3 linked regions of the Sus scrofa genome follow. The protein of the gene in region 2 purifies or fractionates together with the protein of the main gene of each other region. This does not show direct contact. Links are inferred from orthologs where the notes say so. Each region holds a gene or a part of one and is shown on either strand. Other genes may lie near its edges. The genes, in order: FBXW11, NFKB2 and NFKBIB.

The links.
Region 1: the proteins of NFKB2 (region 2) and FBXW11 purify together in Homo sapiens (affinity purification with mass spectrometry; 8 studies listed by BioGRID and IntAct, with this or other methods). This does not show direct contact. The link is inferred for Sus scrofa from reciprocal best matches to the Homo sapiens genes NFKB2 and FBXW11.
Region 3: the proteins of NFKB2 (region 2) and NFKBIB purify together in Homo sapiens (affinity purification with mass spectrometry; 4 studies listed by BioGRID and IntAct, counting the BioPlex papers as one, with this or other methods). This does not show direct contact. The link is inferred for Sus scrofa from reciprocal best matches to the Homo sapiens genes NFKB2 and NFKBIB.

Annotation. Positions count from the first base shown.
Region 1 is NC_010458.4:52,302,894-52,306,542, forward strand, and holds part of FBXW11 (F-box/WD repeat-containing protein 11), read left to right. Parts: intron 1-1,552; coding exon 1,553-1,739; intron 1,740-2,640; coding exon 2,641-2,731; intron 2,732-3,649.
Region 2 is NC_010456.5:113,405,241-113,408,989, forward strand, and holds the start of NFKB2 (nuclear factor NF-kappa-B p100 subunit), read left to right. Parts: upstream 1-1,171; 5' UTR 1,172-1,293; intron 1,294-1,668; exon of another isoform or gene 1,669-2,191; intron 2,192-2,323; exon of another isoform or gene 2,324-2,551; 5' UTR 2,552-2,628; coding exon 2,629-2,649; intron 2,650-2,902; coding exon 2,903-2,987; intron 2,988-3,094; coding exon 3,095-3,135; intron 3,136-3,373; coding exon 3,374-3,472; intron 3,473-3,556; coding exon 3,557-3,708; intron 3,709-3,749. UniProt on the Homo sapiens protein: NF-kappa-B is a pleiotropic transcription factor present in almost all cell types and is the endpoint of a series of signal transduction events that are initiated by a vast array of stimuli related to many biological processes such as inflammation, immunity, differentiation, cell growth, tumorigenesis and apoptosis.
Region 3 is NC_010448.4:47,702,783-47,706,498, forward strand, and holds the start of NFKBIB (NF-kappa-B inhibitor beta), read left to right. Parts: upstream 1-861; 5' UTR 862-958; coding exon 959-1,137; intron 1,138-3,716. Other genes in the region: SIRT2 (NAD-dependent protein deacetylase sirtuin-2), read right to left, coding at 503-518. UniProt on the Homo sapiens protein: Inhibits NF-kappa-B by complexing with and trapping it in the cytoplasm.

The sequences.
Region 1 (3,649 bases), on a different chromosome or scaffold from region 2:
GGGGGGCGTCTAAGGTTTTAATTCAGCCACGGCCATCTTGGGAGTCTGCTGCGGTAACGCCTCTTAGATGAAGGCAGTGTAATCTTTGACTGCATTAACTGCGATGTAGTGACACGTGCAAGAAGAGATAGTGGCCTCAGGGTAGTTGTAATCTTCATTATCACATCACAACCTGGGTGTTAGACCCAGAGCAGAGTCGGAGAGTTAGTGTGTGAGGCGCCTGTAAACCATAAGCAACAGTGTAAATAGTCATCTTAGGGATGAAAGAAATCTTGGTTTGGGAAGCATGTTTTATGCATCATCTCAGTTTGATATTTTCACAATAACGGCAGAGAATGTTGTCCCCATTTTATGCAGATGAGGAATCTCAGGCTCTGCGAGTTTAACGATTTACCGAGACCTGTCAAGTTAGTACTCTCCTGCTTCCGTTTATCTTAAAAGAGAACACATGTTAACCTTGAATGGTACTTTGTTGTCTTTAAAATCTTTTCATAGAACCTTATGGATTTTTGCAGATAGTGCCTACCATTTTATGTGGTAAAAAAAACAAGAGGCAGGGACGTTTCAGTAATTGTTTAAATATTTGTTTCGTGCTATAGAACTGCTGCATGGTGAACCTAGACCTGAAACTGGAATTTTCTAGCTATGTGTTTGGTGTTCCCACTCCTCCACAGAGAAGGCCTGGGGATGACCTCTGTTTCTTGTAGCTGCAGAGGAGATGCCTAGAACCCACAGGATGGGCGTTTGCGGGCAGCCGCTCTGTTGACCACAGGGATCTTCTTTACCTCGTCACCTTTGTGACGGGCACATGTCAGGCAAAGGCTGGATAGTGGTTGTCTTTGAGAGGATACGTGCATTGTGTAGGGTAAACCTCTTAAGGTTCGAATTTTTAGGCACGCGGTTCATGTTTTGAGGATTTTACCTCTGTGAGAAGATGGAGAAATGATTGGCAAAAATCAGAGTACACCTAACTTAATTCTTGGATTGTCGTTTAATTTTTCATAAGCTTTTTCAGATGCGTCCGCGTTTTACCTTTTTGTCTCTTTAACTCGAAGCAATTCACTAGGTCAGGATTAATAGGATGATCTAGTAAATCAGAAGGGAAAGAACACAAACTTGTGCAGCAAAAGATTAGAATTCTAGTCTCGGCTTCACTTATAGTTACAAGACCTTGACACCTTTTGCCTCTCTGCCTCATCTGTTACATTTGGGCTGTCATTACCCCATAGAGTTATGTAATTAAAAAAAAAGAAAGAAAGAAAGAAAAGAAATCTTTTGTTATAATATCTGACAAACATAGAATGGTCCAGGATTGACTTCCACATAGGAACTGTTGCCGTCAGTTGTTTCGTCTTAAAAAACCAGAACCCAAAAGAAGTGTGTGTGTGTGTGTATGTACTCATGCACTTGTGTATCTGCAGAACTTTTGATCTTACTCAAGCACATCTCCCAGTTCAGGATTTCTTTATGCCTCTTACCTTTAAGGAAACGGTCACTGGTACTACATTTGCATCTCCCTTCCCATTCCTTCACTGCCCTTTCTGTTTTGTAGAGCAAGGCTTAGATCACATAGCAGAAAACATTCTTTCCTACCTGGATGCCAGGTCTCTGTGTGCAGCAGAGCTGGTGTGTAAAGAATGGCAGCGAGTGATCTCCGAAGGCATGCTGTGGAAGAAGCTGATCGAACGAATGGTGCGCACTGACCCTCTATGGAAGGGACTTTCAGAAAGAAGAGGGTGGTAAGTATTTGGATTATATATTCTCGCGAAAAAAGGTTCTCTGATTACTAAAAAAAAAGCAGTTATACTTACCAAATGTGTTGGCCTATCTTAAAGCAAATGGGAAGAGATGAGTGGTCAGGAGTCAGGGGCAGAAAGTTAAAGTTGTTAAAATAACCCCTTCTGAAATGCGTATTTCCTCTATATCAGTTAGGATAGATAGGTTCTATTTCCTCTATATCCGTTAGAAAGTATTGGATAATTTGAATGAGTGATTGGGCTTTTCAAAGCTATGTGAATATGCTTCTCCTTTCACCTTTTCCTGAGGTGCCGCTACCATTACCAAAAGATAGATGAGAACGAGAAAACACGAGAAAATCAAATAATGCAGTTTTGCTGTTAGATGTATTGCCCTTGGTTGAAGACGGGAGGTAGAGCGGGTGGGATTTTTCCGAGGCAACCTTATCTGATGTACAGCTTCGTTTCGTAGCTCCTAGCTCCGTAGCTCCATACCTGTCAGGGACCGCGCGCAGCCAGCGCGGACAAAGAGAGCGTTGCAGGTAGCTAGTGGGGTGAGTGATGGTTAGGGCTGTGTTGTCTTTCCTTATGGGAAGAAGTTTGGTGTGTACTAACTTCGATTTTTCTCAAAGCTGCATTAATGCTTTTTGTTAAACTATAGAGGGAAAGGCGAGGTTATTGTGTTGAGTATTAAGAAAATGAAAGATTAGGATCATGTTAAGTGTAAGCGGAAGTAAACGTCTGTCTAACATGAACATTTAATTGTCACACATCCTGCTTTTGAACTGTTAAAGCTCAGTGCAAGTCAAAAGACTCGAAAGATACATCTTTGTAAGCACCACATTTCAATAAATTCAGCCTTTTATGTGCAAAAATGTAACATCTGTTTGTTTTTATTTGCCAGGGATCAGTACCTGTTTAAAAACAGACCCACAGATGGCCCTCCCAATTCATTTTATAGGTCATTATACCCAAAGATTATCCAGGATATAGAGGTAACTTTATGATTTATCTGTTTTATGGGCTCTTTGTGTTTTGTTCTCAACTTTTTAATGTTGCCTTAGAGTGTTCTGTTGATCTGAAATCATAGCATTAGTGAAAAAAAATTTTTTTAAGTTGAAGTCTTGGAGCAAATATGTCACAATGTGTAATCTGTAGCTATTTTTTAAAGTAGAAAAGGCTTTTTTTGTAGAAAATGATCTGACTTTTTAAAAACATGAAACGCTTCTGCAAGGCCGCCAGTTAATTAAAACCTTAATCAGAAATTGACTTTTTATTCTTATTTGATAAAATTTCCAAAATCCAAGCCCTAGTTTTTCAGCGAAGCATCATTTTACATTTTTGAGCCATCAGTAGAGATCTAGAGAAGGCACAGTCTCAGTTTCCTCGGTAGATTTCCCATAATTTTTCATTAAAATGACGCAGATATGATTCTAAACAATACTTAAGTGACTTTTCTAGAGCAGATTACGCTCCTGGACCATTTCAGATTCGAGTGTAACTTCCCTAGACCAGTAAACTCTGTGAACTTGATGAGAAACATTGGAGATGTTTGATACTGTTCTTGTGTTCTAATTAGTTTAGTTTTATTGTTTAGCCCTCTTGCTTGAACCAGGAAAGACATGCACAGGCATTTCTCATTAACTCTCTCACATGTGTTCTTGGCAGGTCTTAGTTACTTCACTCTTTCCTCCTTGGCAAAAAAGTTCAGCCTTTGCTAGGCAATGCTGTATCACCTATAAAGTTACACTCAGTTTCCCAAATGTGAAGTAATCCTCGCCCCCAGGTGATAGACATAAAAGTTATTGTGCCAAAATTCATTAATGGAGAAACATGTGTATCTTGGAGGCCCTTCCCCCTGCCTTCTTTTTAAGGCACATGTGAACTAATGACTCATTTGGTTAATGGCACAT
Region 2 (3,749 bases):
CATTCAAAAAGATACATGCATATAAAAAAATAAAAGATACATGCACCCCTAGGTTCATTGCAGTACTATTCACAATAGCCAAGACGTGGAAACAACCAAAGTGTCCATCGACATGGATGGATTAAGATGTGGTGCATATATACAATGAAATACTACTCAGCCATAAAAGAGAACGAAATAATACCATTTGCAGCAACATGGATGCAACTAGAAATTCTTATACTAAGTGAAGTAAGTCAGAAAGAGAAAGACAAATACCATATGACATCAATTACGTGGAATCTAAAATATGGCAAATATCTACAAAACAAAAACAGACTCACAGACATAGAGATCAGACCTGTGGTTATCAAGGGGGAGGGAGGAAGCAGTAAGATGGACGAGGAGGGAGTAGCAGACACTGCAAACAGTACAAAAGATAATTTTCTACTCTGGCGAAGTTTGAACTAATTTTGGATGGCTTTTCTATTCTGATATTCCAAATCTCTGTGAATGATGAACAAGGCCTGAGTCTCCCAGATAAACACCTCGTTTCTCTTACCCAACGCGGAGCTCCTGATCAGGTCTGAAAGTTTGCCCCCCACCCCGCAAAAAAAAAAAAAACAAAAAACAAAAAACTTTATAGAACAAGTTTTAGGTCCAGATTGCCTCTTCCAGGGAAGACTGAGATTACGGAGTCTCCTCGAGGCTCCAGAGCGGCCACCAGATGGCGCTCTGGCACCAACTGCAAATCAACTTCCTTCCTCTTCCCCTAACTCTTCCCGGCAGCGGGGCCCCCGCTCGAAGCGAGGGACCAGAGGGCTGGGTCCCTCCAGCTTCCCCTTGGGATTCCCCGGCTTCTGAGGTGGCCAAGCATTAGATGCAACATAAGCTGAGTAGCAGCAGGGGCTGCCAGCCGGCTGGGACAGGCCAGGGTAAGAGAGGAGACCGGAGCCGCGGTCCTCGGCTGGGGAATGGCGCTGGGTCAGCGGATCCCGCAGCAGGCTGGTCCCTAGGACAAAACTCACACCTGATTGAGGGCCATCCTCACTCTCGCTTCGCGCGCTGAGCAAATATTTCCCCTCTAAGGGGCGCGCCTGAGTCACTTGCGATTGGTTACTCGAGTCCGGAGTTAAACTTTCAGCCAATGAAAAACGGCATGGGGAGTGACGCACGGAAACGTCACGGGAATTCCCCCCTCCTGGGGCGGAAAAGGGGCTTTCCCGGCTGGAGTCCTGGTAGCTGGAAAGGTGTCGCGACCCGTCCGGGGTGGGTCGGGCCGGGAGAGAATCCGGAACCTGAGCCGCCGCAGCGGTGAGTGGCCGGGTTCAGACCCCTGGGTGGCAGGACACGGGGAAGGGCGGGAGGAGGACCCTTAGCTGACCGAGCCCAAGGGCTGAAGAGAGGCGTCTGCACACTCACAGAGAGCACGCACACGATCAAGATACACGCATACACACTGATGTCCTTGTATAAAGACAGGCGGGCCGTTTGTTACACCTTCACATATGCCGGCGTGTGCACAGCACTATCCATGCAGACTCGCTCACACAAGGACCCGCAAAACACGCACACCGTGCACAGGTGCCTGGACCCATACCCTTCACGCACAAACTCGAAGATGTGTTCACCTGTGCTCTTACATACATGCTCAGATGTTTCCGCACTGAGAAGTTTAAGGACACTCACCTGTATACGCATGTTCAAGCCATGAACACACAACACGCAAGCACATGGGCCGAAACACACTTGTACACCTATGATGCAGATGCATACATGTATTACACACGGCTTTGGGACTGGGGCGTAGGGCGTAGGCAGCCAGAGTAGGTGCAGTGTGGGAATTAACGGCTGTTGAGATGTTTTCGGGAGGGGTAACAGGGGAGCCCATCCCAAGGAGACCCTTTCCTTCCCCCGCCCCAGGGCCCCAGAGACCAGTTATCCGGGCAGAGCCCCGGGGCCCCTCACTGGGAAGAGCCCCCACCTACAGGCCTTCGGGGAGTAGGCCTTCCTACTGCAGGAATGTCCCCCCAAAAGCCCCCAGGGTGATTCAGCCGTGGCCTCACTCGGGGTAGAAAATCCCAAGGTTGCTCCAGGACGGGGGAGGGAAGGAGGCGGACCTGACCCCGTACTAGGAGCCTCCCCCAGCTTTGAAAGACCCTCCCGTCCCCGGCGCCTGCCCTGGAGGGAGGAGGAAGGGGTGCCCAGCCCCGCGGGACCTTCCCAGCATCTGGTAGCCCCTCGACTTCGCGGAGACGCTGCGGGCGCTAGCAAGCCAACTGAGACCTTGAGCCCCTCCCGTCTCGGGGGCGTGGCCAGTGCGTCATTTCCAGGCCCGCCCCCTCCGGCCCCGCCTCCCCCTGGTATTTTCGGGACTTTCCTAAGCTGTTCTAACTTTCCTGCCCTTCCCCGGCCCAGCCCAGCTCCGGATCTTGCCCTCCACCGGATCTTGCCCGCCACACCCGGACGGGTGGCTGGAGATCAGACCCTCCCCTAAATCCAGGCCCCCCCTTTCCCCCCAACTCCCGTCCTGATCTTTCTCTCCCAACCCCTCCACTCCTCCCCACCTAAGGCGGGCGCCTGAAACTCCGGGGAAACAGCACCCGGCCGGCCGGAGCCACCGGACAGAGCTGGGCCTAGCCCAGAGACATGGACAGTTGCTACGACCCAGTGAGTCACTTTGCCTGGCCCCAAAGCCGGCCGGTTGCCCCCTGTGCCTGTCTGCTTGTCTGCCTGCACCTGTAATGTCCTTAGATTATCTCAGCCTGCCTGTCAGTTACCTCTGTCTGCAAACTGCTTCCAATAGGAGTTTTCTTTTATGGGCCTGGGGAGGAGGAGTGATTATGGAGGGCTTGGAGAGCTGAGAGCTGGAGGGCCCCGAGAGTGGCTCAGAATCAGATGCTACCCCAGTCTGTCTCCACAGCAGAGTCTGCCTGGCATCATCGAATATGATGATTTCAAATTCAACCCGTCCATTGTGGAGCCCAAGGAGCCGGCCCCAGAGACAGGTTAGTAAGTCCCCCGACCTCCCCTTGTCTTGGAGGGAGGAACATGTGCCCTCTGCCTTGGGAATGGACTCAGAAGTCCTGGCTCAACAAAGTCCCTCTGTCCCCAGCTGATGGCCCCTACCTGGTGATCGTGGAACAGCCTAAGCAGGTGAGTGAAAGAGATGGCATGGAATGGTTTCAGCTTTGGGGGCAAGTGGGATAGTTGGGTGGCCATGGTGACCACAGACCCACTTGGGTTGAGGTGGTTGGTTGCTGCTGATCACAGCAGTATGGTTGTGAATTCAGGATAGATACATGCAATTATTATGGTCACTGCTGGCTGGTAGCAGGGGAGGGGGGTTTGGGGGCCTCATGGTCACAATGTCACTCTGCCCTGGCACCTTCAGCGAGGCTTCCGATTCCGATATGGCTGCGAAGGCCCTTCCCATGGAGGACTGCCAGGTGCCTCTAGTGAGAAGGGCCGGAAGACTTATCCCACTGTCAAGGTGAGCCTGGATGGTGCTGGGGGGGGCAGGGGTGACTCGTGGACAATGTCCATAAACATTACTGACAGCCCTCACCCCTCACAGATCTGTAACTATGAGGGACCAGCGAAGATCGAGGTGGACCTGGTAACACACAGTGACCCGCCTCGTGCTCATGCCCACAGCCTGGTGGGCAAGCAGTGCTCGGAGCTGGGGGTCTGCGCAGTGTCTGTGGGGCCCAAGGACATGACTGCCCAGTAGGTGCCCCATACCCTTGGCTCCCAATGGCATGCCCCCT
Region 3 (3,716 bases), on a different chromosome or scaffold from region 2:
AAGCAGTGGGAAGCCATAGAAAGGAGAGAAGACATACTCTGCCTGTTGGCAGGTTTGGGAGAAGAGGTGCAGAGTGTGTGTGTGTGTGTGGTGTGTGTGTGTGTGTGTGTCGGGCAGGGTGGGGTTGGTTTCGGAGAAAAAGGAAGCAATAGGAGGGGACCCTGGCATCCTACAGTTGCTACTAACAACCAGGTACCCTTAGCAACCAGGACCGCGGCATCTTAAGTCCCTAGCAACGAGGGTCCTTGGCAACTAAGGTGCGAGAAACATGTGATCATTAGTAACTTGGGGGAAGTGGCAAACGGACCCTTAAAACCTAGCGACCCAGAAAGCCACCAATCTAGCAATATGGATCACTTGGCAACTGCCCCCGGAATCCCATTTTCCCCCCCATGCAACCCCCATCTCCTGCCCCACCAAGCCTGCCCTCGGGCCCCGGGGCCTACGACCCTCAGCTAGGCCCCGGTGCAGCCCTGCCCTCCCACCGGGGTCCCCGACTCACGATCCGGCTCGGCCATGGGCGCGGGGCGGGGGCCCTCGGGACTGTCACCGACTGCTCTGTCCCGTGACGGCACCGGAAACAGGAGGGGGCCGAGACAAGGCAGAGAACTACAACTCCCAGCAGCCATCGCGATCGCATATAATGCTCTGCACCGCGTACGGAGCGCGCCCCCACGCAAAGGCCGGACTACGAGTCCCAGAGGGCTCCACGTCCACAGCCATGCTGGTAAAGGACTCCGGGAAAGTGTGGGAAAAGGTAGAACGCCGTAGTCCACCTGAGTGCTCTGATTGGTCATCATGTGGCATGGGGGCGGGGCGTGTACTACTTAGCCCACCCTGATTGGATGAGTCAGGGGGGCGTGTTGGGGAATTCCCCGCAGGGCGGAAGCTCGAGAATTCCAGGCAGAGCCCAGCGACAGGCGGGCTGCCGCTGGGGGCCCCTGAGGCTTCGGGGGCCATGGCTGGGGTTGCGTGCTTGGGGAAAGCTGCGGACACCGATGAATGGTGCGACAGCGGCTTGGGCTCTCTGGGTCCGGACGCAGCGGCCCCCGGAGGACCAGGCCTAGGCGCGGAGCTGGGTCCGGGACTATCGTGGGCGCCCCTCGTCTTCGGCTACGTCACTGAGGATGGCGACACGTGAGTGAACCTTAGACTGACAAATCGGGCCCCAGGGTCCCACATCTCCAATCCTGACTTCCCAACCTTTCAATCCTAAATCTGTCTTTTGATGCTTGACTTCCTGACCCCAAGACTGGCCTCTGATAAAACCAACTTCTTATCTAATTTTGATCCTAACCCAATAATGTCTGGCCTTCCTTTCTTGAACTGATTCTCAGAGTTATGCGTTCATTGATCAGACCCACATTCAGTGATCGATTCCACATCCAAAACTCGATTTGACCTTCCTGACCCCAGTCCTTAGCCCTCTGTTAGAACTGTAGTTCAGACAGGCTCCTCCTGACCTTTATCCTCCAAATATGATCTTTGGTCCTCAGCGCCTAACTTACATGAGCCTTAGATTTTATTTCGAAATTAATACTTGGCTTTTGACTCCAGGATCCCACCTTCTGAACTCTGATCTTCAAAGCTTACATTCAAAGAGAAAATGGAAACTACATAACAGCAGGAATTCATCTATTAAACAAATAATCCAACACCTTCGACTTTCCAGGAACTGTTTTAGGTGTGGCCTAAAGGCAGGGAGGAAAGCCCAAAAAACATTTGTCTTGTGGAGCATACATTCTAGTGGGGGTATATAGACAGAAGGGCAGATAGACTGACAGGGAGGGAGGAAGGGTAGGAGGAAGAAAAAGGAAAGAAAAGGAGAGAGAAGGAAAGAGAAAAAAAGATACACAGACCTAAAGTAAGAAAGGGAGAGAAAGAAGAAAGGCAGGAAGAAACGAAGACAAAAATTAAAAAAAAAAAGAAAAATAGCATGTCAGACGTTAAGAAGTTCTTTGGAGAAAAATAAAGCAGGGAAGTGAGACAAGTAGATTATCTGGGGAGAACATTGCACATAGAGGGAAAAACAGTTGTAAAGGCCCAATTGAGGGAATGTACCTGGGGTTTTTGAGTATCGTGTTTACCGCTGTATCCCCAGTGACCCAGCAGCCCCTGACCCATAGGAGGCACTCAGGAAACAGTGATCTTCTCAAACAACCAGCTGTGGTTTCATTTATTTTCTCTTTTTCTCTCTTTTTGCTTTCTATTTTGTTGATCTCTGTTCTGACTTATTTACTTTCTTCTCTTATTTGGGGTTTAATTTCTTCTTTTTCTCGTTTTTTAAGATGGAAGCTGAGGTCATTGATTTGAGACTCTTTTTTTTTTTTTTTTTTACGCATATAAGTGATTCATGCTGTAAATTTCCCGGAGTAGTGCTTTAGCAGTATCTCACCAATTCTGATGTGCTGTGTCGTTTTTTGTCATTTTGTTTTGTTTTGCTTTTAAGGCCTACCTGCGACATACGGAAGTTCCCAGGCTGGGGTCAAATCGAAGATGCAGCTGCCGGCCTACACCGCAGCCACCGCAATGTGGGATCTGAGCCCTATGTGCGACTTAGACCACAGCTTATGGCAGTGCCAGATCTTTAACCCAGTGATCCGGGCCAGGGATTGACCACATCCTCATGGATACTGGTTGTGTTCGTTAACCACTGAGTCACAACAGGAATTCCATGATGTGTAGTGTTTTTATTTAATGCAATATACTTTCTAATTTCTTTTTTGATTTCTTCTTTGGTCATCGGATTCTTCAGAAGTATGTTATTCAGTTTCCATATCACAGGCATCTTTCTTTCATTGGCTTTTAGTTTAATTCTGTTGGGGATGGAGAGCCTAGCATGACTTGAATCCTTTCAGACTTTTTGAGACTTGTTTTAGGGCCAAGAATATAATGTGTGCATTTGAAAGAATGTGTATTCTGCTCTGGTTGGGTGTAGTGTTCTCCGAGTGTCAGTGTTTCCCTGGTTCTTTTGTTGCTCAAGTCTAGATTTCTACTTGTTCTGTCAATTATTGAGAGCCGGGTATTGAAATCTTCAACAATAATTGTGGATTCGTGGCTTTCCTTGTTGTGCTATCAGATTTTGCTTTGTGTAATTTGATGCTCTATTATTAGGGGCACAAATATTTAGGATTATTAAGTCCTCTTGTTTCACTGACCTCTTTGTCGTTATGAAATAACCTTCTCTAGCCCTGGTAATGCTTCTTGCTCTGAAATCTACTCTGATATTAAAATACTTACTTCTGTTTTCTTTTGAATGACTGGTGTTACCATGGAATATCTTTTTATACCCTTTAATTTTAACCTATTTTAAAATTTATATTTCAAGAGTGTTACAGGCAGCATATAGTGGGTTTTGCTTTTTTTTTTTTTTTTTTGGCTGTGCCTGTGGAAGTTCCCGAGCCAGCAACTCAACTCGAGCCACAGCAGTGTGGCACAATGACAGTGCTGGATCCTGAATCTGCTGCACCACAAGAGAACTCGAGGTTTACTTTTTTATTCATTCTGACAGTTTCTGTCTTTTAATTGCAGTGTTTAGACTGTTTGCATTTAACTTAATTATTGAAATGGTTATGTTTATCTTGTTTTTAGCTTTTTTGCTTATCTCTTTTACCTTTTTCCTCTTTTTCTGCCTTTTAGAATGAGCAAATTTTGTTCCATTGTGTTTCTTTTGTTGGCTTATTAGCTCTAACTCTTTGTTTTTTATTTTCGTGGTT